4 linked regions of the Drosophila melanogaster genome follow. The protein of the gene in region 3 interacts with the protein of the main gene of each other region in a pairwise test. Each region holds a gene or a part of one and is shown on either strand. Other genes may lie near its edges. The genes, in order: CG34404, CG14540, CG3213 and CG15580.

Region 1 (5,952 bases), on a different chromosome or scaffold from region 3:
GTATGCCGAAGCGACAAGAAGTCCTAATACTGCTTGAAGATACGGTAGACTCGTCGGCGGCGTCCTGTGCATTGCTATTAGTGGGCTCGGTTTTTACCATCGCAGCTGCAGGTGAGTTTCCATTGTCCGCTGGTTCGGCTTTAATCTTGATCGCAGGAGTAGTGCTTGTGGGCTCATCTGCATTCTCCACTGGCTCAGCTTTTATTTTCATAGGAACTTCAGGATTTGTTTCATCTTTAATGGACGCCACAGGCTCCTCCGATTTTACGCGCTTTCTTAGGCCGTTTTCTGCGCCAAAATTTGCGTTGCAATTGTGTGTGATATCTTCAGAAGATTTTCGTTTAGCGCCACTATCGGCTGTAGATGCATCTGTGGCACTCATTTTAAGTAAATTAAGTTAAATTTTCAAAACATTTTTATTTCACAAGTACTCATATACTTGATTCTGGTGATTTGCAACACTACACGAAATGGTGATGGATGCTTAAGTTAGTTTCATTAGCTTATCGATTAATTATTGGAGCCAATTTCAAATTCGTGAATTTTATCGAGTTTTAGTAGACGTTTTATATTTTGTACAGTTTTAAATACATATTGAATCATATAACAAGCAAAATGCGAATACATTGTATAAATATAGGATCCCGTGTATGCGTCTTGAATAACTCCTTAGTTTGTCTATTCGTATGTGTGTATATGTAATTGCTTGTGGCCCATAGACGGATGCTCCAATCCCACGGATCTATGGATAGGTTGGTGGAGCCTTGCTCATGGCACCTCTGAATATGTATGTATTTGAGTATGTAGTTACTGCAGCCTTATCTGCGAGGCAGGGACACCGCCCAAGCCCCAGCCGACTGCAATTAAGTCGCATGGCACATTCGTGATACTGTCTTGGTCATGGCGGATCCACGGCGACTGCTGGGCGGGTGGTCATTGCATTAAAGGTAAAATAAGCGATATGATCGAGAGGGAAAGATCTTTTGCGGGATATGTGACAAGCGCGCCCGCTCCACGCCCAGTTGCTCAGTCCTCCTGGAAGGTCGTCATGCGTTTCCTACAGAGTAGTCTCAGGAACATGGTTATGGCCTTGCTCGTAGTCCAGCCGCAGGTCAACAATCTTCTGCTCTAGCTTCCTCACCCGCAGCTGGTACTTGCGCTTGGTGTGATCTAACATTTGGCCCAGATTGCTAAAAGGGAAATATGAAGAAATTATGTATGAAACAGTCAAAATAAAACGAATCTTACTGGTTGGATTTCTGCAGTTCACGCACGTTCTGATGCAGTTGCTCGTATTTTTCGTCGAAGGCCTTCTGCGAAGCTGTTACATTTGCCAATAGCGTCTGTATGCGACCCTTGAGCTCCGTTTCTCGAGTTAAGGCCTCCACCAACTGCTGCTCTGTGAGAGCCGCATGCTCCGCCTCCGAATACGAGACCCGGTTGTTTGCCTGTAGCTGCTTTAGGGCTTCGTGGAGTATGCCCACTCGTTCGTTGGCGTTCTGCCGTTCCTGCTCGGCCTCTTCCATTTTTGTCTTCAGCTGCAAATTCGAATCCCGCAGCTCGAGTATTTCTTGCATAATCACTGCTGTCTCCAAGTCAATGGGTGACTTCTTGTCCGCGCTCCGAAGTTCGTGCTCCTTTTCCAAAGCCAGGCGCTTTCTTTCGTATATGTCGCTGAAGGGTGATTCCAAACTGACAATGGTATGCTGGACATTGGAACGACGTCCCTTCAGCTTGGAGACGTGGTAACGCAGGCGGTTGTCGTCGTCGGCACACCACGGGCGGCCAGTTTTTGGGGCATCCTCTGGGCCCAGGTTGATGTTGTGTTGCCACGGTCCCAGGCTGTTCTCACAAACGTTTTTCTCGCTATCCAAACGGGCTAGCAGGTGCCTGGCCACCGCCTCCACCGATCGTCGACTCTCTTCCGCTGCCACTGATTTCTCCCCCAGCAGTGCCAACCTGGAAGTGATGAATTGTGAAATAGGGACAACAACCCGCGTCTTATGGTGATTGTACTTACTTGCTTTCGAGCAGAGCCAACATTACGTCGTAGGCCTCGATGGCGCGATCACTGCAATTAAGCGCCAACTGAAGAGCAACCGCATTGGACTCGTACTTTCCGCATAGCAGATACAGATGCTCAGTGTGCTCCTTGCATTCGTCTAGCGTCAGTGCCAGCATGGTGTTTCGCATCTCCAATTGTTCAACACGTCGTTGCAGTCGCTCCAAGTCTTTGCTCAAATGTAGGGGCTCCATAAAGTTCTCCATATATAGATTTTGCTCCTTTAGCTCCGACACCAAATGTTCGACCAGATTAATTTGCTTAAAATTATGGGTTGTATGGGTTGAAATGTATTCTCTGAATAAAGTTTTGGTCAACACACCTCGTTGCTCAATGAAGTATCTTGGGATGGATCTTCTCCGGATTCATGTTTGCTGGCGCACCGCAACTTAACCCGTTCAGCCATTTTCGGTACCGCTGGAATGCGTTTTTGCGGACTTGTCAAGGAAGTGCAAACTGAAAGCATCTAAATGTGTAACCATTCTTTTATCATCAGGATTATTTATATTACCATTCAAATCATTCAGTCGCTGTCCGCACTCGTTGACTTCCGATTCGCAGTCGAAGGCGACTTTGGTCTGTTCCTCGACCACAGCAGCATCCTTGGTGGAAATCTCGGACTGGAGGAGGGCGATTCGAGCTCTCAAGTGCAGAACTTCCTCCTGCAGTGCCTCCACTTGTCCCTTATGGCTCAGTTCCGGCGGTTTGTGGGCAACGTTACCCACGCTGGTGGTACTGCAGGCGCCCTCGAAGTCTTCCAGTGGTTCTGTTTGACATTCGGCATCAGGATTGGTGAGGTTAAGCTCGGAATTGTACACTGAACCCTCCTGAAAGCTGAGTTCTGAAAACAAGACTGTCGGTTAGGGGTTTGTTTCCCTCATTTGAAACTGCTACGCACCGCTGCCGTCGGGCTCCTGCTCCTCCATGATAACGTGGTCCTGCTTACTGCGCAATTTCTTGCTTAACTCGGCGATGACACAGTGCATCTCTGTGATGCGACACTCGTGGGCCTGGCTGACAACCTCCAAGCGCTTGTGGCATATTTCCCGCTCTGTGTTGCTCTCAGTGAGCTGTCTTTCCGCCTGCTGCAGACGCTGCGTTAGATCCCGCACCCGGTTTTCTAGCTGTTGTACCGACAGTTGCTCAACCTGGAGGTGAATCAAAAGAAAAGAGGCGGATTAGAGCTTTCTAAGTGGTTATTCTTGGGGTCATCACGTTTATGGGCCGTCTGGCCAGAGGATGAGCCATCAGCGTATACTCCCAACTGCGTCTCTTGTCGTTGGGCACCGATGGCGTATCGCTGCAGCACAGGCAGCTCAAGCTGCGCGGAAGCAGTTGCTCCGAAATCATGGTCCAGTGGAAAATTTTGACTGGCGATTACGTCGTCATCCGACCGCGGATGCATCCGCGCTCTCCGCCGCTGCAACTTGACCCTCAGCCTTCCACACGCATCTGCGCACTGGACGCCAACCGAATTTAAAGCCCGAAACACTTTGAAAACCAATGATTGAAAATTCTGCGTTTCTTATTTTAAACTACACAATAATGAGGTATTTTTAAATATTTTGTGATCATTTTAAAAATTAATTTAAAATGAACTTGATCATGTTTAGTACCAATGTATCATTGCAAATTAATATATTGATTTTTTTGATTTAAGATCTAGTTATTTCTCTCAGTGCGGGCATCATTACTCACTTTGTTGACAATGTCTAGCGTGGAGCAGCTGGATATGTTGTTGTCACTCTCGGTGGTGTCCCGCTGCGTGTGCTCCGGAGAGTCCAGGTCGGAGGATCCCACCAAGTGCCTGCCACCGGGTCCTCCACCGCGCGGCGAAATGCTACCGAAGACGTACTCGAAATCCTCGCCAGCCGCGCTGCCGGAGTGCTTGCCCTGGAATCCGCTGGAGTCACGCTGCTTGCCACTGCGACGCGGCACATCGGTAGCTATCTTGGCCACCCGGGCGACCTGCACATCATTCGACATGGTGGCAATGGGCGGCTGCAACGACTTTCCGACTAGAATTGGCCTGATTTGGGCCGCTTGATGATGACTTTTGATTGGTGCTCCATTCCCAGGATATGTGGCACTGGTGTTAACTCTACATGGCTCATTAAAAACTTTTCTTAAGGCATTTTTAATTCAAAAACTCGAAATTACTCCAACCAGTCGGGATATTTATTGCATTCTTATCAGAAAATGTATACCCAGAAATAAGAGTGTGTGAGAGTGTGTTTATGCTAACGGTATGCAACACTCCGCATATTATTTATCGATAACTTGGGCGCGTCTTTTAAAACTGTATGCTATAGTTATTGTACATATCCAGTTTCAACGCAATATCGATTGAATAAAGTGATTTATTTTATATAATCTGGTTTTATTGTACGCTGTTGCGGTAATATATATATGTATTATATCTTTTGTCAACACTGAGATATGGTTTCATCCATTTCTTTGGGAGTCCTCAATTGAACTAGTTTTTCTCTAAGGAATAGCCGCCAGATTCTCTGCTCGTATCGTCACCATAGCCTCGTAGTCCCGCATGTCCAGATCGTGAAGTGCTTTCTGGACCAGAGTGGCCAGGTGAGGCGGCAGGTCCTTCAGATCCTCCATACGTTCCCGTGCCACTGCACTGGATATTCGTGGCGTGCCGTTGCAGCGGCTGCTCAATCCACAGTTGCCCGAATCTGTTGTGGCGGATGAAGACTTTTGGAAGTCATCGGGCTGCACATCTGCACCGTACACAGACGAATCCACGGACTCCGTTGAAAGCGAGGACATTCCATCGTCGGAATGCAGAGCCTCAACGGACTTGTGCTTCTTTGAATCTTCATGATCCGCTGTAATGGCGACGCCTTCGTTATCTGGCTCAATGGACGGAGTGCTGCTGATGTCGGCGTCATCTACCATGGCGGCACAATAGCCATTGAGGAGCAGCTGCGAAGGCGCATAACCATATTCCACGTCCTCCTCCTGCTCCTCTGCGTTGTCATCGTTTCCGGAGAGGAGTTGTTGCCACCGCTGCTCCAGCTCCGTCATTTTGCCAGCCAGTATTCTGCAGGAAATATGGGTTTATGAAATATATATCAACTTTCAGCTGGATTTTCCTACTTGTTGGTCTTCTTTTGGTGCGTCAGGGCCAAGTTCTTGTCGTTGAGATTGTCCAGCAGGGCCAGACACAAGGATTTTAGATCGCTTAAGCTCTCGGTTTTCTGAGGCAGCTCAATGCCACTCTCGAGGATTGTTTTCACTAGGGTACAAACAAATTAGAAAGGCATGAAAGAGGTGGCCACCATATAATTACTCACCTTGCCGGGGGCTTAGAATGGTGTCCTCATTTGTGCTCCCACCGCCAAGTTTTACAATTCCCTTCTTTCGTTTTGCATCCAACATTGTCTGAATGATTTAAATATAAATAAATAAAATGGTAATAAGTCTTAACTAATACCAGTACCTTGTACTTATTGATGCTCTGTTTGGTGAGCTCCAGTTCGCTGTCTTGGATCTTCACACGTTCATGCAGGTACTTGTTCTCCAGCAAAACACCATCGATGTCCAGGAGCTGGAAAATCAATAACTATCAAGTAAGTACTATATAGCATCAGTTAACTCACCCTTGGATGCGTTTTCTTCGCCCTGAGGGCCACAAAGAGTTCATGATTTAGGCGGTGTGCCTTGCACTTGTAGGCATCCCGCTCGGTTATCAGCTCCTCCTTCTCATCGATCACCGCCTTCAGGTCGAAGGCCAGCTGGGCATTCCTTTTTTTGAGGCCCTCCAGGTGGCAGATAAAGTTTGCCCGCTCACGACGCCACTGCAGCTCCTCCTTGTTGCGAGCGGCATTCTCGCTGGCCATTGCCTGTACCCGCGACTTGTTGCTGGCCTCCGT
Region 2 (4,840 bases), on a different chromosome or scaffold from region 3:
TTTTCATTTGGCCACGTTGCATAAGTTTAATTTAGAGCTCAATTCCTTTAGGGGGTTTAACTTTAATTGCCCAAAAAGCAACTATATGGCCTTATTAAGCTGTTTGGCTTTTTATTTAAATACTCATTTTACTTTGAATAGACGCACCAATATCTTACCGACGGACCACGTCCACGTTTAAACTGTTTTGGCCAACTGAACTAGCGGAAGAACTTGCAGAGCCGCGACACTCGTAAGCCCATAAAAATGCAGCTGCAGGTTAGGGCTAGTGGGGGTGGTCTTAGGCCTTATTTTCCACTCGACTCAGTTTTACCCGGTTGCCGGATGGGGGTGATGCCTTGTTTTGGCCAGCTCAGTTGATTCTTGCTTTGCAGTCAATATAATATGCACTTATTAGTGACACCAATGGGCATTACTCAGCGAGAATCGGGATTGCCAAGGGCCAAATAGGTCAGTTTTATGCTCAATGTAAGCTGTTCACATAACATAAATAAGAATATGAAAGCCAGTTTTAAATTTTGAACATAGTTTAATTGTGATCCTAAAAATGAATTAAATGAATACATGTACGCCAGGTACGATAAGTTATAGTTAATTTGTCGAAACATTTGATCCAATTTTTTTTGGCTTTACATTATCAGAAATAATTTAGGTCATGCCAAAAGTAATATTTAAATAAGTATTAAGGCGATTTCTAGGAATGGGTTCCCCTTCAGTTTGAATGCTCCTTTATCTTCACTCCAGTGGCTTTACTGACCATCTCCGGCGCCTTGGTTGGCTCCCCTTCGATTTAATTTGCGGTTGGGCCGGCTCGTAGTTGCTCCACTTGGATACTTGAGGCCACAGTCATCGTCCTCGCTGCCGGTCGAGATGTCCGAGGAGAGCTGGAAGTCATCCACTTCGGTGTAGGTCTCATCCGTACTATCGTTGGGCGTTTCGATCTCCGTGTCGTCAACCTTTTTATTTTTCTGACTACCTGCGAGGGTCCTAGAGCTCATGGCTGCTGGCTGACAAAGTCCACCGTTTGAATTTTTCTTGGGTATCAAGATGTCCTCGAGACTGGGCAGTTCAGCCGACATCTGACCATTCATATCCTTCACCTGATTGCAGTAGCGCTGGATATTATCCAGGACTTCTTGCACGCCCACATCAGATGATTTTACAACTAAACTTTGCTCCGATGACGACTTTTGTGCAGCAAGAACTGGCTGCTGAGCTTTGCAGATGCTACGATAGGCACTGGAGTTCATTAGGGACTCGTTATGGTCTTTTTTGGCGCTAATAGGCATTTTGCTTTGATTCCTAATCACTTTTCCTGGTTGTTGTTTTAAACTATGCGACGGTTTCTGTGTCAGATTCTGACTGACTGAGGCCGCTGCTTCTAAGTTCGCCTTCGAAAGACTCAGCATTTCCTGAGTGGGCTTTCCATTCATCAGCGATTGATGCTGGTAAAACATTTTATCGTACTCGGATTTCATGCACAAGTACCGAAAGTGTCGCGAATTTTCCTCACCGAAGTAAATTACCTCTGCAGATGCCAAAAAATAGTTACATATTATAAATACCAAATAAACACTGAAAGTAAATAAACTCACTGCTAATGACTTGTTCCTGCAGCTTATCCAGGTTATCGTTTGTCTGCTTCAACTCGCCCGAGAACCTTTCGATTTTGTGGCTCAGATCGCGAAAGTTCTTTGCCAGAGCATCGGATATGGTGTTCTAAAGAAAGTGCATAGTGTATTAACTAATCAACTAAGGAACTTATGCGAAACTCACGCCAACGGCCGTTTTGACAGTCTGGCGGATCAGGTCAAAGAACTCCTCAGGATCTTCCTCCTTATCTTCATCGTCATCGGCGGTACTCACGTGCACCTTGCTCGCCGGAACAGGCTGTCGCCCACGCATCTGCTTCTGATGCGGATGCGGATGCTGATGCTGATGCTGATGCGGTTGCGAATGCTGGAGGCGCTGCTGTTGCTGATGCTTGAGGTGGTTGTGAGTAGTCATCTGCTGCTGCTGGTGCAGCTGGTGTTGCGGCGGATGCTGCATTGCTCCGGATTGCAACTGCATTTGCATTTGATGGGCATGAGAGTGCGGATTGTGCCGGCGCATATTTCCCATGTTTCCCTGCTGGGGCACCATTAGTTCCTTATCGGAGTAGTCGTCGTTGTCATCCATTGGATAGTCGTTCCTCTGGGTATTGCCCTTTTCGCGGTGCTTCATTCGGTATGTCTCCTTCGACTTGGACATGCCATAGCCATTAGGGTTTACCGTGCCTTCGGCCGGGCTAAAATGCGGCACCTTGTTCATCGGCGCCTGACGAGCACTGGCCTTATTGGCCATTTGGTTTCGCCTCGAGGGCATGGCGTTATATGGAGATGGCTGGACATGGCCGGGAATCATTTGCGATATTGATGGCTGCGCCATCGAACCGGGGGCATTTCGCAGATTGGCCGCCGTCAACGGCAGATTGGTGGTGATGTAGTAATCATTTTCGGTGACAAAACTGCGCTGAGTGCGAGCATCGACTTGTCGGGAGCTAATGGTTCCTCCACCGCCAGTTGCACCGCCTGGACCCGATCTCTCAGCCCTTGCTGTTTTCTTGGTCACACCTGCATGGGATATCGCTACCGACTTTACCGGATGCAAGGAATCCATTTTGGAACCATAGACCTCCTCGATTCCCTTGCGACGAATTGGGCGCACCATCTTCATCCAAAGGCTCTTTACTCACCGAAACAAACTTTCGTTGGCCTCGAGTTGCACCAATAAACGCAAAAGCACAATAATGTATAAACTGTATTTGATATATTTTACATCTATTTATGTTCTTTGGATGATTTAGCTAAAATGAATGAGGGATATAGAAAGATAGTGAATGTTATAACACCAGCCTACTGGATAGATAGATTGGATAAATATTACTCGTGTGAATAAACTGAAACATTAACGACATACATTTTCGTCGCATTTCGCATTTATCAAAATAATCAGAAATAATCGTTATTATGGTTATTTGTCAAATTTTGATTCACTTCCTTATACGAAGAGTATGAGTTGTACAATATATACATATTTACCACGGAATGATAGATCTCTGCACCTAAATCGCATTCATATTGATTACTCACTCCAGCGCTTCGTTTCTACCAAATTTATTTTCACACCTCAAACACCTCTTCATTATTCAAACCACAGGTGGTGAGGGAGTTTTCCCGTAAATTTGTTTACCTTTTGCCGCTCAACTAACCGCAAATGGCAATGACACAGAGCAAAGGTTCAATGTTTGCCCGCTTTGCCGGAAATATTTCTTCGGTTCGACGCCAAATCAAATGCTAATGAGCTGCATCTGATTGTGAGTGCGAAAGTGGTTTTGGATACCACTTGCTGTTCGCTTGGAAGTGGTTCATCGTTCAAGAAATTATTACAAATATTTATCCGATTATTTACCTTTGAACCTCCTCGGGCTGCCGTGTATCCAAGGCGAATGATTCGAATGCGTGGCATGGCCACGCTGGAGGAATCCTTAAGTAGGCAACTAGCTTTAAGGTCATGTCTGGACTGCTGAAAATAGACCGCTTAGCCTCAGGTTACAGACACTTAAGACATAAAGGGAATGCAAAGCGAAAGGGATTTAGAAAGGCGCTCAATAAAGTGCTGAAGGACCCTTAAAAATTGGGTCATCTGTCTGTGGGGACGGTGCCTTGAAACGGAAAACCCATGATGCCCATGCCAACTCCTTGTCTCATGTCCTCATTATGCAAATTGCGCATACGACGCGTGTGCTGCTGCCCACTGCAGGAGGCCTTCTCCCCTTTCCGCAAGCAAATCATTTTGTTGACAATCTGTTGCATGCGAATGCTATTAGGAACGAGATGATATCTGTGGGAATAATTTTCATTTAATGTACACCCTTTTCATTTTCTCTTCCCCTAAACGACCCCAAGAACAGCTCATTTAATTCGTTTTGTGTGTACCCTAGTCATAAATATAAATGAACCATGAACGGCCGACAACAGTTGACTATAATTTAAGATCCTGGCCTGCAGTTGAGCCTTGAATTTCCATCCTCTGCATGTGTGCGCATAAATATTGCAACATTCGAGGAAGCAACAAAGGTCAGACAGGCTTTATTTGTTGCAAATGCGCAGAGAAGCTGCCATTAAGCCTTTGAGTCCCATCTGAATGACGTTCATGTTGACATTGTCATGGTGATACAAAAAATAATCACCATTATTAGTTGTTCCGGCCAAACTGACTTGATTGGCCACTGATTCTATGCCATAGACTGTTTGGACTGATTATCAGCAAAATGCCAACTGACTTACAGAGCAAAACGTGAGCCATTCCAAAATTAATATAAGTCATTAGCATTATGCGGAACGATAAATTTTAATGGGACTCGGCATTAGAATTGCTTAAGGCGGAGATATTTCCAAGAAATTTATCACCCAAAAAAGTCGCCCCGCGGCGCAGATAAATCATCCAAATGGTGACCACAAATTGTACAGCTTTCGTAAGGCACATGAAATACGAAATGTTTGCACTGGCACTTCTTTATTTTTAATTGCAGGCCCAGTCAATTAAAAGGCAAGTGAGTGTTGCAGCATTTCTCTCACGCATAAATTTGTCCCCTGTCAACAAGATCCTCAAGACTTTTCATGATTTTCCGAATACTTTGCCACTGCCCACCCATAAAACGTCACTTGCACGATTTAAGGTATCTATTTTTGGTTTGATGGCAAAACATTTAATGAGAATTTCTAAACAGAGCACTTTTCTTGTTAAATTTAATCAGTAATGATTAAACTGAGAACCATTTCTTCTTAAACGAAGGGAA
Region 3 (4,805 bases):
CTGCTTCTGGGTGCTCATGATGTCCTGGGCTTTCACACACCGCGTGTGGTAGTCCGATATTCTCTCCTGCTGCTGCCGAATGAGAGTTCGAAACTGGACCTGCTCGCTCTTCAGTCCCTTAATGGTGGTAAGGAGCTGGCTTATATCTCCAGAGTCCCTGTCCCTGTCTCTGTCCCTACCTCGATCCCGTTCATGCTTGTACTTCTGATCCTGATTAAGGAAGAAGGTTTAAGTTTTTATATTCCATTTAGCTAACAGCTAATTCATACCTGTGAGGTGTTGATCACATCCTTCAGCACATTGTACACATCCTTGAAGGATGCTGGCTCCCTTTCCCGATCGTCCTGCTCCAAGGATCTCTTCCTGCGCTTCACGTGACGGTTCGCCAGTGTTTCCACAATACGGCTGTCAAAAACGCTGTTCACCTGTGATGGCAGATCGTCCTTGTGCCGATGGTGATTCTGCTGATGAGTACTCCTTTCGGACGCGTATTTCTTTCTATCGATTTCGTCGCAGGAACTCTGGCCCGATAGAACGGTCATGAAACTGGTATTGCTGCGCAGGATTTGGGGGCTCTTTCGTCTGATGGTCGTCTGCGAGGTGACACTGCTGGCAGAGCTATAAAATCCATCCGGATCGGGCTCACTTCCCAGATCCATTTGCTGGGCCTGCTTCCTGCTGGACACGAACTGATCGTGCTTCTGCTGCATTTCGCACAGCTCGTAGTTAATTTTCATGTACTTCTCCTCCAGATCCTTGGTGCTTTCGTTGTAGTCCTTGAGCTCCTGCTTGTACTTGCAGAGTTCCTCCTTTAGCTTGCTGCCAAGGGCTTCCGAGTCTGGCAACCTCCTCTTCGAGCCCAAACCCTTTCTGTAATCTTCCGGCTCTTCATCACTCATGATTAGGCTGACCTCCTTACCTTCCCTGCTGTTCTTGGGTAATTTTGTTATACTGGGACTACAGTGGTCCCCGAAGTCCAAGCTACTGGCACTTCTCGTATCTAGTACTTTGGAGCTCGGCCTGGAGAGGCTGACATAGCTACTCTTTTCATTTTCATCTGCCTGATCTTCGTTCTTCTCATCCAGCTCGAAGTCCAGTCCCATTGAGGTGTTACTAGATGATGTTCCTTTGCGATTCTGTGGACGGAATCGAAGTGATCGTTGTCTGTTGGCTAATGGTCGCCTGGATGGCTTTAACATCTACGAAAATTTAGCCTATTTGGTTAATGTTGCACTTGTGTAATTTTTTGCACTGTTTTTGGCGAACAGAGAATTTTTTTAAAAACCTTATGTGACACATTCAATTCCCAAAAATATTAATTTTACGTAGGACGTGACGAAAATTATTTGATAGAAAATTGGGCGTTACGCCTACTCGAATGGCATTTGCCTTCTGGAAAATATCGCTGTTCGAGGATTGATTATATCCTTAAGGTTTATATAATAGTTTTAGATAATAAACCACATCTCCCAGTAGAGTGATAATTTATATATGTATATTCCTACTGATTGCCCTTTAAATTTCCCATTTCACCGTAAAACATTTTCATACTTTTATGTTAGTAAAGGATACAGGTAGATTCTCATAACATATTTTCGAATAGATTTAAAATTATTTATTAAGATATACCATTTCCTTCAAGTCGCACTGTGTTTTGATTTTGAACCAATTCAAGTAGCGGCAGTAGTAAATATAGTTGTTTGTTTCGCCGAATAGATGCCTCGATACACACTCCTCCCGAAGGACACATTCCTGACCATCCTGGGAGGGAGGACTCCGGTAATCCACCTCGACAAAGCAAGTCCTCGATCCCAATCCAGTTCTCCGGGATCTTTCGTTCGATTCTCCCAAGTCGAAGCAGGCCATTCCAAATCTGTTGCCAACTGCCCAGGGCGAATGTCCGTGGATTTTTCAGTTCATTTTATTCGATCACGAAGAAAACAACTTATTCTTCCCAAAACTTGTTTCGAAATTTTTTCAGAGTATGTGTTAAAATTTTCGCAGAATATACGTACCTTAAAATCGTTAGTAAATCTAGCCAAATATAAAAAAAAAAAAAAAAAAATTTTAACCATACAATTTTTGGCCGCATCGATAAGTGAATCTAAATCGCGATGGCAGAGAACACAGAGTACACCGATGAGGGCGGCGAGTACGAGGACGATGAGAACCAGTACCTTGGCGAACAGCACATGATGGAGGAGGGGCCCGACGAGGACCTCTTCTCCAAGCTGGGCGAGTCCTCCGACGATCCCGAGCAGAAGCGCATGTACATGGAGTACCTGGCGCTGATCAAGGAGATCGATTGCCAGAACAAGATCATCCAGGACATCAAGAGCAACATCATGGACATGTGCGCCAAGCCCTGCAAGACCCGCAACGAACTGCGCGAGATCAAGCGGTTGAGGATTTGCATGGAGCAGGAGAACATTAAGCTGCACACCATGATGAACAGAGCGGTGCAGCTGCAAAACTTCGGCTCCCATCGGCACTACAAGGAGCTGGCCATGACCACCACCGTCGACGAGGACAACCTGTCACCGTATATGTGTGGCATCGGTCCTTGTGCTCCAGCTGGCAGCGCCACGGATCCCTGTAGCGAAGAGCCTAGCTCGTGTGCCAGTGTTTGTGGTGGCGGCGGAGGCGGTGGAGGTCAACGGGACATGGCTGGTCAGGACGACAAGTTGATCTGCGCTCTGCAAAAGGCCATGCAGAAGATGAAGGGCGCTTGTCCTGAGGACAAGAAGATGATCGAAGAGATCGCCTGCGCTATAATGAGCTGCAAGAAGCAGCCGGTATGCGTTCCGGGTCCCTGTCCGCCACCACCCTGTCCGGGTCCTTGCCAAGGTCCTTGCCCGGAGAGCAGCAGCAGCAGCATTGCCCCATGTCCTCCTCCCTGTCCAGCCAAACGGAAGGCTCAGAAGGCTCCCTGCCCCCAGCCCCAGCCCCAGCCACCGGGCAAGTGCGAGTCCTTGGAGAAACTGAAGCGGCGCATCCAATGCATGCAGACCTCGGTGAAGAAGTTGCTCCAGGAGGTGAGCAATCGGGATGCGTCCGAACCCTGTGACGTCGACGACGATGACGATGAAGGAGAGGAGGACCCCTGCTCCAGGCCGTGTCCTCCCAGGCCGCCGTGTCCCGAGGATCCAGACCCACTGGTCATCTGCGGCGGAAAGCGGAACACCAAGGCCGACAAGTACGAGAAGATGAAGGAGAACTACACCAGGCTGCTAACCGAGTTTCAGCGCAAGGACTGCCAGATGAAGGAGATGCAGAAGCGAATGAAGGGTATCTGTGGTCCCTGTCCATCGAAAGGGGGCGACGGGGATGCCGATGCCGCCGAGCTGAATCTACTTCGAGCGCGGGTCAACGAGCTCAAGGAGGAGCAGCTGGAGTTCAAGTGCATCATGAAGGAGCAGTCGCAGCAGTTAGAGGACTACCGCAACAAGTACCTGCTGGCCCAGCAGAAGGTCGAGGAACAGTGCGTCTCCCTAGAGAAGCTGAACATGAACAACAAACGAATCGAACAGCAGATCAACACGGAGGTCAAAGAGATTCGAGCTAAGTTCCAAGAGAAACTGAACGAGTTACTGCACTTCCCCAAGCTCTTAGAGAACGAGCAGCTGAAGCTGGCCCAGGTTTGCAAGGAGAAGGATGAGATGCAGACGAAACTGGTGGTGGTCTGCAAGGAGCTCAAGGCCTGCAAGACGCAGATGGAGCAGCAACCCAACGTCGATGTGCGACCTCAGCTGGCCCAGTGCCAAATGGAACTGACTCAGGCCAGGAATGAACTGGAGGAGCTTCTCCGACAGAGGGATCTCTTCTGCGAACAGCTCAAGTCCACCCAAGACGATCTGGACACTCTGCGAACTGAATCCGCCAAGATCATAGCCGGCACCAAGGAACGGGCCGAGCTGATCAAGTCCCAGCAACAGGAACAGATCAATCGGCTTGAGAAGGAGTTGGCTCAGTGCCGAGCAACTGCCTCGCTGTCGGTCAACGATCGGGAGGCTGTCATCCGCGAGATGCAGGGTCAACTGAACACACTCTCCTACAGCTTCGATGCCGCCCAGAAGCAGATCAAAACGCTGCGCAATCACATCGCATATGTGTCCAACGAAAACTGCTTCCCCGTCAAGTGCTAAATGGGAAGAGATTCGGAACCATTTCGAATTCACATGCATATTCAGCATAAGGTGTCTGTGAAAGATAATGTAGCTTGCGTTCGAAAACCATTCACAAAGCATATAAATCATTTTGTAACGAAAATTTTAAATATTTCAATAAATATATAAGTATTTTGGCAAATACTTGCGTTCCTTTTATATCGTTGAAGTATTTAACCTAATTCATTTTATAGATTAAGGTTACAAAACTTATCTTGCTCAACGAAGAGATAGGCTGCTTATCTGCATTTAAACAGTGTAGTACTTTGTATGATCCAGATTAAGTTGGCACAACTGAGGTTTTTGTTTTGGCGCTCCATAGGAAACAAATAGATATTGCTTTATTCTGGCATTTGAGAGGAACATCTACAAATGGTCGGTTTGTGTACGTTAATGAGGTGCGCTCCTTGCGGCAAATGGCACAATTGAAACAAATCTACAGGGATTTGACGGCCAGTCTCTTCATCTTGGGCGCATTCCTCTTGGCCTGGCGCTTCTGCTCCTTAGCCTCCCAACGGCGCTGCTTCTCTGGGTCCTCGTCGGCCAGAATGCGCTCCTTCTCCTGCTTACGCTTATCCTCACGTCTCTGAGCGGCAGCCTCGGCGCGGGCGGCATGGGTGCTCTTCAAGAACTCCTCCT
Region 4 (5,217 bases), on a different chromosome or scaffold from region 3:
TTTAAAAGAAATGAAGCCTTCCAATAAAATCACCGCTAGTTAACATTGGAAATTAAGTCTTCAAATGAAGTAATATGAATTGAAAAATTCTTTTAACTAAAGTGTTAAAAGGATTTAACATGCTGTTTTTAGGACTGGTGTTTTAAGTGCTTTCTAGTTTGTTTTATCAACATGGAAATTATACTATTTTTTCCGAGTGTACGCCCACGATTTTATGGAATTGACTGTGGAGCTTGGAAGGCAGAAGTAGCCAGGGGAAGTGGCATTAAATTGGAGACACTGTTGCCCAAATCTCCGCTGCTTAAATGCAAACTGCTCAACTTTGTTGCACTTGCTGTGCTCTGCAATGACCTTCGGTCGAGGTGTGGCCCCCGGAATTGTGGGCGTGGCTCCAAGGCGAACACGTTGCCAGCGACTTAATTAGATCTCAGTTTATGCCAGCGCGGCACTTTATGGCGAAGGTTTAAAGTGACCATTAGGTCGAATGACATTCCAAGCCCTCGAGAATGATAGGGACTATGTTGGACTGCTAAGTGGTGCGTTTAATGCTTTGAAAATATACTCAGAGTACAATGTTATGCAATGTACAATTGTAGGTGGTGAAAAGGGCTACAAATTAGGGAGTTTTGTTCCTTTGCAGGTAGAAAAAGCGATTGCCAGGGCCTGGCAGAAAGACAGACTTCCGGAACTGGTCCAGATCGAACTTGTTGGGTTCGAAAACAAATGGTTCTGTCTTTCCATTTTGAGAGGGGTGCGAATCCTTTGAAGTGTGCGATTCCCTCACTTCAGGCGCTGTCGGCTGGTTCCACCGAGCCAACATTGCCCAGATGTCGCCCTCCTCCTCGACCTCCTTCTTCTCAACGACCACCTCCGGAATGGATTCCTTGCTGGAGCTCGAGAACTTCGGCCGCACCTCCGTGCACCCCTTCCGCCGGGCGAAATCCTCCTCGATTCGCTGGACAATCGGATGGCGGCGCTCCTTGACCACCTTACACAGATTCTCGCCGTGGTGGAGGTTTTCATGAATGTAGTTATTCCGACGCACTATCATGTCCACTTCGAATTCCTGGTCGAAGCTCAGCTCACATTCCCGGAAGTCGGCGTATAGGATCTTAGGATAGGAATGTAAGTTCAATACTCAGTTAAAAATGATCTTCAGCACCCCTTTCGCAAAAGTGGTCATTATCAGCGATCCAACCTAATTCAATGTTATACTTACTCGGGTATTCTTTTCCAGGGATCTCAGTATTTGATTCCCTTGCGAGATGCCAATGTTGATGGCGGCCATTTCGAGGCTCATCAGAGGAGTGTGGCTGCGCAGGAGGGTTCCTATATCACGGGAAAACGAACCCAGGGTGGTGTTGATCCCCGAAATGTTGAGGGCCCACACATGGGGGGTTCCGATAATACACGTTATGAGCGAATGCAGGGCCAATTCATTAAGCGGATTGTGAGCCAGGCCCAGATACTCCAAAACCCCCACTTGCGATTGGCTCAACGCCTCGCCCAGCACAATTGCACAATTGGCGCCCAATTTGTTGTGTTCCAGCTGGATACTGCGGTACATCAAAGGGCGCTTTAGCAAATAGGCCAGGCCTTCGCTGCACTCATCCGTCATTTGGTCATAACCAAAATCCACCTCATCAAGGGTGTCTAAGTTCTGAAGGGCACGGGTCAGGATACGAAACTTCTTCATACTCAGGCGACTGTTTCGAAGCCTGAAGGTCTTGAGGCTCGGTAAGTATTTCAGACCTTTGCTAAGACGAACCATATCACTGTCTGAGAACTTCATATAACGGCTGTAAGGTACAAGTTAAGTTAAGTTTAAGCTAGCAATTTTAATTTAAATGCTGGTGGTAGGCGATGCAGCTGTAGACTCTTGGCGCTTTTAGAACTCTACTTCACATGTATTTATTTGGTTCCATTTATCTCAGAGAAAACATGTTATACAAATCGTGTACAGCACGTTTCACTTCTTCGATGTTGTTTCTTACCATAACATTCTAATTTAAGAGCTTACCTTTGATAGTCTTTTACATCAGGTGGTCCCAAAAACTCCAGCGTCAGAGACATCATATTTTCAAAATATCGTACAAATCCCAGATCAATGTGATGACAATGGTCCTCCGGATAGTCATACCGCTTGATCCGCTCCAGCAGCAGCTGCTTGTTGCGCTTGTCCGGTTTTGTGTCCTCGTCATCACCTTCTTCTGGAGCAACGTTTATGCTGAACACGTCTCGAATGGGCGGTTCCTTCTTCTTTTTCTTCTTTTTCTTGCCCGATTGATCCGCATTCTTCAAGGCGTCCAGTTTCTCCTGGCGCTTCCTCTTGCGCTCCTTGCGATCCTCCCGTTTCCTAGCAATGGCATCCCGAGCCTGCTGGCGGTTGGCGTTGCGCAGATGTCGCGCATTCCGGCGAATTGTGTCCTCGTTCTCGGTTTCCGCACGCCAGAAAGTAATAGCTGCCTCGCTGCTGGAACTACTAGACTTGTGCTCCTCCTCGCCCTCGTCCATTTCCGTATCCGGCTCATCGCTAGATATCTCCTCCTCGTCGGATGACTCCGAGGATATATCCTCTTCAGGCTCGCTCTCCAAGTGCTTAATGAAGGCATAGTCGGGCAGAGCTTGCAGCTTGCGGATGTGCATGGAGTTGACATACTGCCAAACAATTTCAGCCAACTGAGCCAGCCTTCTCTGCGGCTTCACGTTCACAGGACATGATTCAACCTGCTCCACAAACTTCCGGCTCACACCCTCAGCCTTCCAGTCGAACTCGTTCCAGCGCTTCAGGTGCAACGTTTTGTCCAAAGTCTTGCTTAGTACGACGCGTCGCCAAAATCGTTGATCCTCGATCAAATAGCAATCTCTTTGAAATATATATAAAGTTATTAGGGTTTGTAACCATAGTAAATAACGATATAAAGTTAGTGGCGTCAAATGTTAAATTATAGGTTATGTAATGAAAATACTTGTATCCGTTTCGTTACATACCTCAAAGGCAGCTCCACATCCAGTGCGTCGTAAAATATCCTCATAAGCTGGGGACTCGCCTGCAAAGTTGGAGATATGCCTCGAATGCCCAGCTTGGCCAGACTCTTTACGCTCAGATTGACTAAAGTGTTCAAGTTTCCCTCTATAAAGGCCTCCGCAAAAATCTCGCGATTCCGTTCGCTGTATAGGTTCAAGGTCTGATGAGAGGGCTTAAAAAGCTCATATGTGGCCAGAAGGAGGGGATCGGTGGGAGCCCGGAATTTCTGAGCATAGTGCGGTTGCACAACCTCCTCATCATCTTCAAAGTCCATATGGAGTTATTTTCGAGTATGTTTGTTTGTGCGTTGAAAGTCTTTTTTTTTGAAGTTTGTTTCTGAAAGTGATCGATAAGTATAACATGGTTTTAACCCATGTGTTCCAGTGCACCTTAATACATTTATGGAAGTGCCGTTTGTCTATCTTCATACTCCAATGAACATGTTTTATGTTTTAGTTATCTCGCACCTGCCAAACGTACTTCCTCATTAAAAACTGTCCGGTTTTCATTTAAGACACTCTAAATCCCGACCCGAGTGCGTAACAAATGTTTACAACGGCTAATTTAAGAAAACTCGCCTAAGATATTTTCCACTTACGGCGCTCTTTAAGCGTTTGCTAATATTTGCTGCTAATGTCTCGCAAGCACTTGCCAAGCACTCGAAGCAAATTTAAATTAAGCTAACCTAATTGAGAAGCGAAGAGCAGTTTCTTTTTGTGGCCAGCCCCGCTTCGCCCGCCCCGTTCCATTCCGTTTTGGCCAATATTCAGCGCTTTGTTTTGATGGCGAAGCTGCCAGGAGCTTCACCTTGCCGGCTATTTTTCTACCTAATGAAATAAAAATAGATGTTGTTAGAGCTGCTCGCTGAGTGTGCTCGTCCTGTCCGGGTGCCTTTGTGCCTGGATCGGAGATGGCCCCCAGTTTGGAAGTGGTTTCCATAGTGCATGTAGCTGCTCCTGCCAACAAAGACGCTGCACTTAAGAAAACCAAACGACTTTGTATCAATTCTTGTGACCAGGACATATAAAATATTTATATTTTTAATGCATATTTATTATTATTTAATTATAGTGGTACTGTTGATAAGCTATAATATTTTCCCGGAAGAGCTGTTACTTCCTACCTATGTGGGCTATATTCCAGGATGTATCATATAATAAAATGTTTAGTTTTAAAGTTGTAAGGAAATAATTTGGCACGGTGTGCACCTATAGCATTCCTGGCTCTGCAAAGCTTTGTGAATATGCTCAACTTGGAGTATTTCTTCAGAGCAAGTGGAGGAGCCCCAGGTCCCCAGCTCCCAGTACAAATTAAGTGCATGCCAGGACGAAATTCGCCATCCAGCCCACCACTACACACAACACAACCACCGACATCGTCGTTGGTCCTTTTCTGTGAACGACAACTGCATTGCTAAGTGGAAGTTCGACCATGACTTTTGCTTTCGCTTCGTCAATCACCTTTTTATCTGGAAGGACATTACCAAGCCAGCTCAACTCGGATTCGGTCTTACCAACTTGTCCTTCCTCGCATGTCCTTCTCGGACGTGAATGTATGTGTGTATGTGTGTGCCCCAAAATTTATTACAACCTTTGGGAATTCTTTTAAGTAGTTGCTCGATTCAAAATAATTTTCCATTTATCACCGTGATAACAAAACAGTTTTCCCCCAGCCGCAAACCAGAGCGAAAATGGCAAAATAACATCAGAAGCGCGGACATTATGAGTGGGTCGGTGTTAGGTGGAGAAAACTTCACTGCGTGGATGGAGTGTGGATGGGGGCTTGGGGACGGAGGCGTGGCAATGGCTTGGCCAAAATAAAGTGCTCTTCGCAAATCTCGCTGCCGTTGTAGTCGTCCTGGGAGTTGAGCTGAAGACTGGCTGCGGTCGTTAGGGAGTCCGACTTGTCCGACTGGCTCTGATGATAAATGCCGGGCAGCAGGTGATTTAAAATAATTTCGGCCAGCGCGCGAAAAGTATATGTTGCCGGCGCTGTTGTTTTCAAATTTTTGAAATTTACGAGCTGCCGTTCGTCTCACGGCAGAGTTTTGCCTTTCCCCTGAGGCGAAAAGACCAAAAAGTTGGCGCGATTGCTTAACATGTTTGCAACACTGGCTCCGGGGACGATCTAAACCGGAAATGACGCTGCCTCACAAATAGAAATACAATGTAAGTTTCAGTCGCGACACG

The links.
Region 1: the proteins of CG3213 (region 3) and CG34404 interact in a two-hybrid assay, tested with the Drosophila melanogaster proteins (one large-scale study listed by BioGRID).
Region 2: the proteins of CG3213 (region 3) and CG14540 interact in a two-hybrid assay, tested with the Drosophila melanogaster proteins (one large-scale study listed by BioGRID).
Region 4: the proteins of CG3213 (region 3) and CG15580 interact in a two-hybrid assay, tested with the Drosophila melanogaster proteins (one large-scale study listed by BioGRID).

What each region holds. Positions count from the first base shown.
Region 1 is NT_033777.3:15,363,387-15,369,338, forward strand, and holds CG34404 (uncharacterized protein), read right to left. Parts: upstream 4,280-5,952; 5' UTR 4,049-4,279; coding exon 3,761-4,048; intron 3,437-3,760; exon of another isoform or gene 3,413-3,436; coding exon of another isoform or gene 3,278-3,412; exon of another isoform or gene 3,211-3,277; coding exon 2,961-3,210; intron 2,904-2,960; coding exon 2,574-2,903; intron 2,519-2,573; coding exon 2,385-2,518; intron 2,323-2,384; coding exon 2,021-2,322; intron 1,960-2,020; coding exon 1,249-1,959; intron 1,191-1,248; coding exon 1,058-1,190; 3' UTR 547-1,057; downstream 1-546. Other genes in the region: CG6171 (uncharacterized protein), read right to left, coding at 1-382; CG14868 (uncharacterized protein), read right to left, coding at 4,550-5,120, 5,177-5,315, 5,374-5,461, 5,520-5,627, 5,680-5,952.
Region 2 is NT_033777.3:25,957,351-25,962,190, reverse strand, and holds CG14540 (uncharacterized protein), read right to left. Parts: upstream 2,913-4,840; 5' UTR 2,716-2,912; coding exon 1,777-2,715; intron 1,720-1,776; coding exon 1,596-1,719; intron 1,529-1,595; coding exon 750-1,528; 3' UTR 505-749; downstream 1-504.
Region 3 is NT_033779.5:3,516,773-3,521,577, reverse strand, and holds CG3213 (uncharacterized protein), read left to right. Parts: upstream 1-1,926; 5' UTR 1,927-2,114; coding exon 2,115-4,145; 3' UTR 4,146-4,305; downstream 4,306-4,805. Other genes in the region: CG8851 (uncharacterized protein), read right to left, coding at 1-210, 270-1,199, 1,630-1,866; CG17593 (uncharacterized protein), read right to left, coding at 4,603-4,805.
Region 4 is NT_033777.3:6,054,189-6,059,405, forward strand, and holds CG15580 (uncharacterized protein), read right to left. Parts: upstream 3,349-5,217; 5' UTR 3,303-3,348; coding exon 2,992-3,302; intron 2,867-2,991; coding exon 2,021-2,866; intron 1,800-2,020; coding exon 1,220-1,799; intron 1,112-1,219; coding exon 617-1,111; 3' UTR 524-616; downstream 1-523.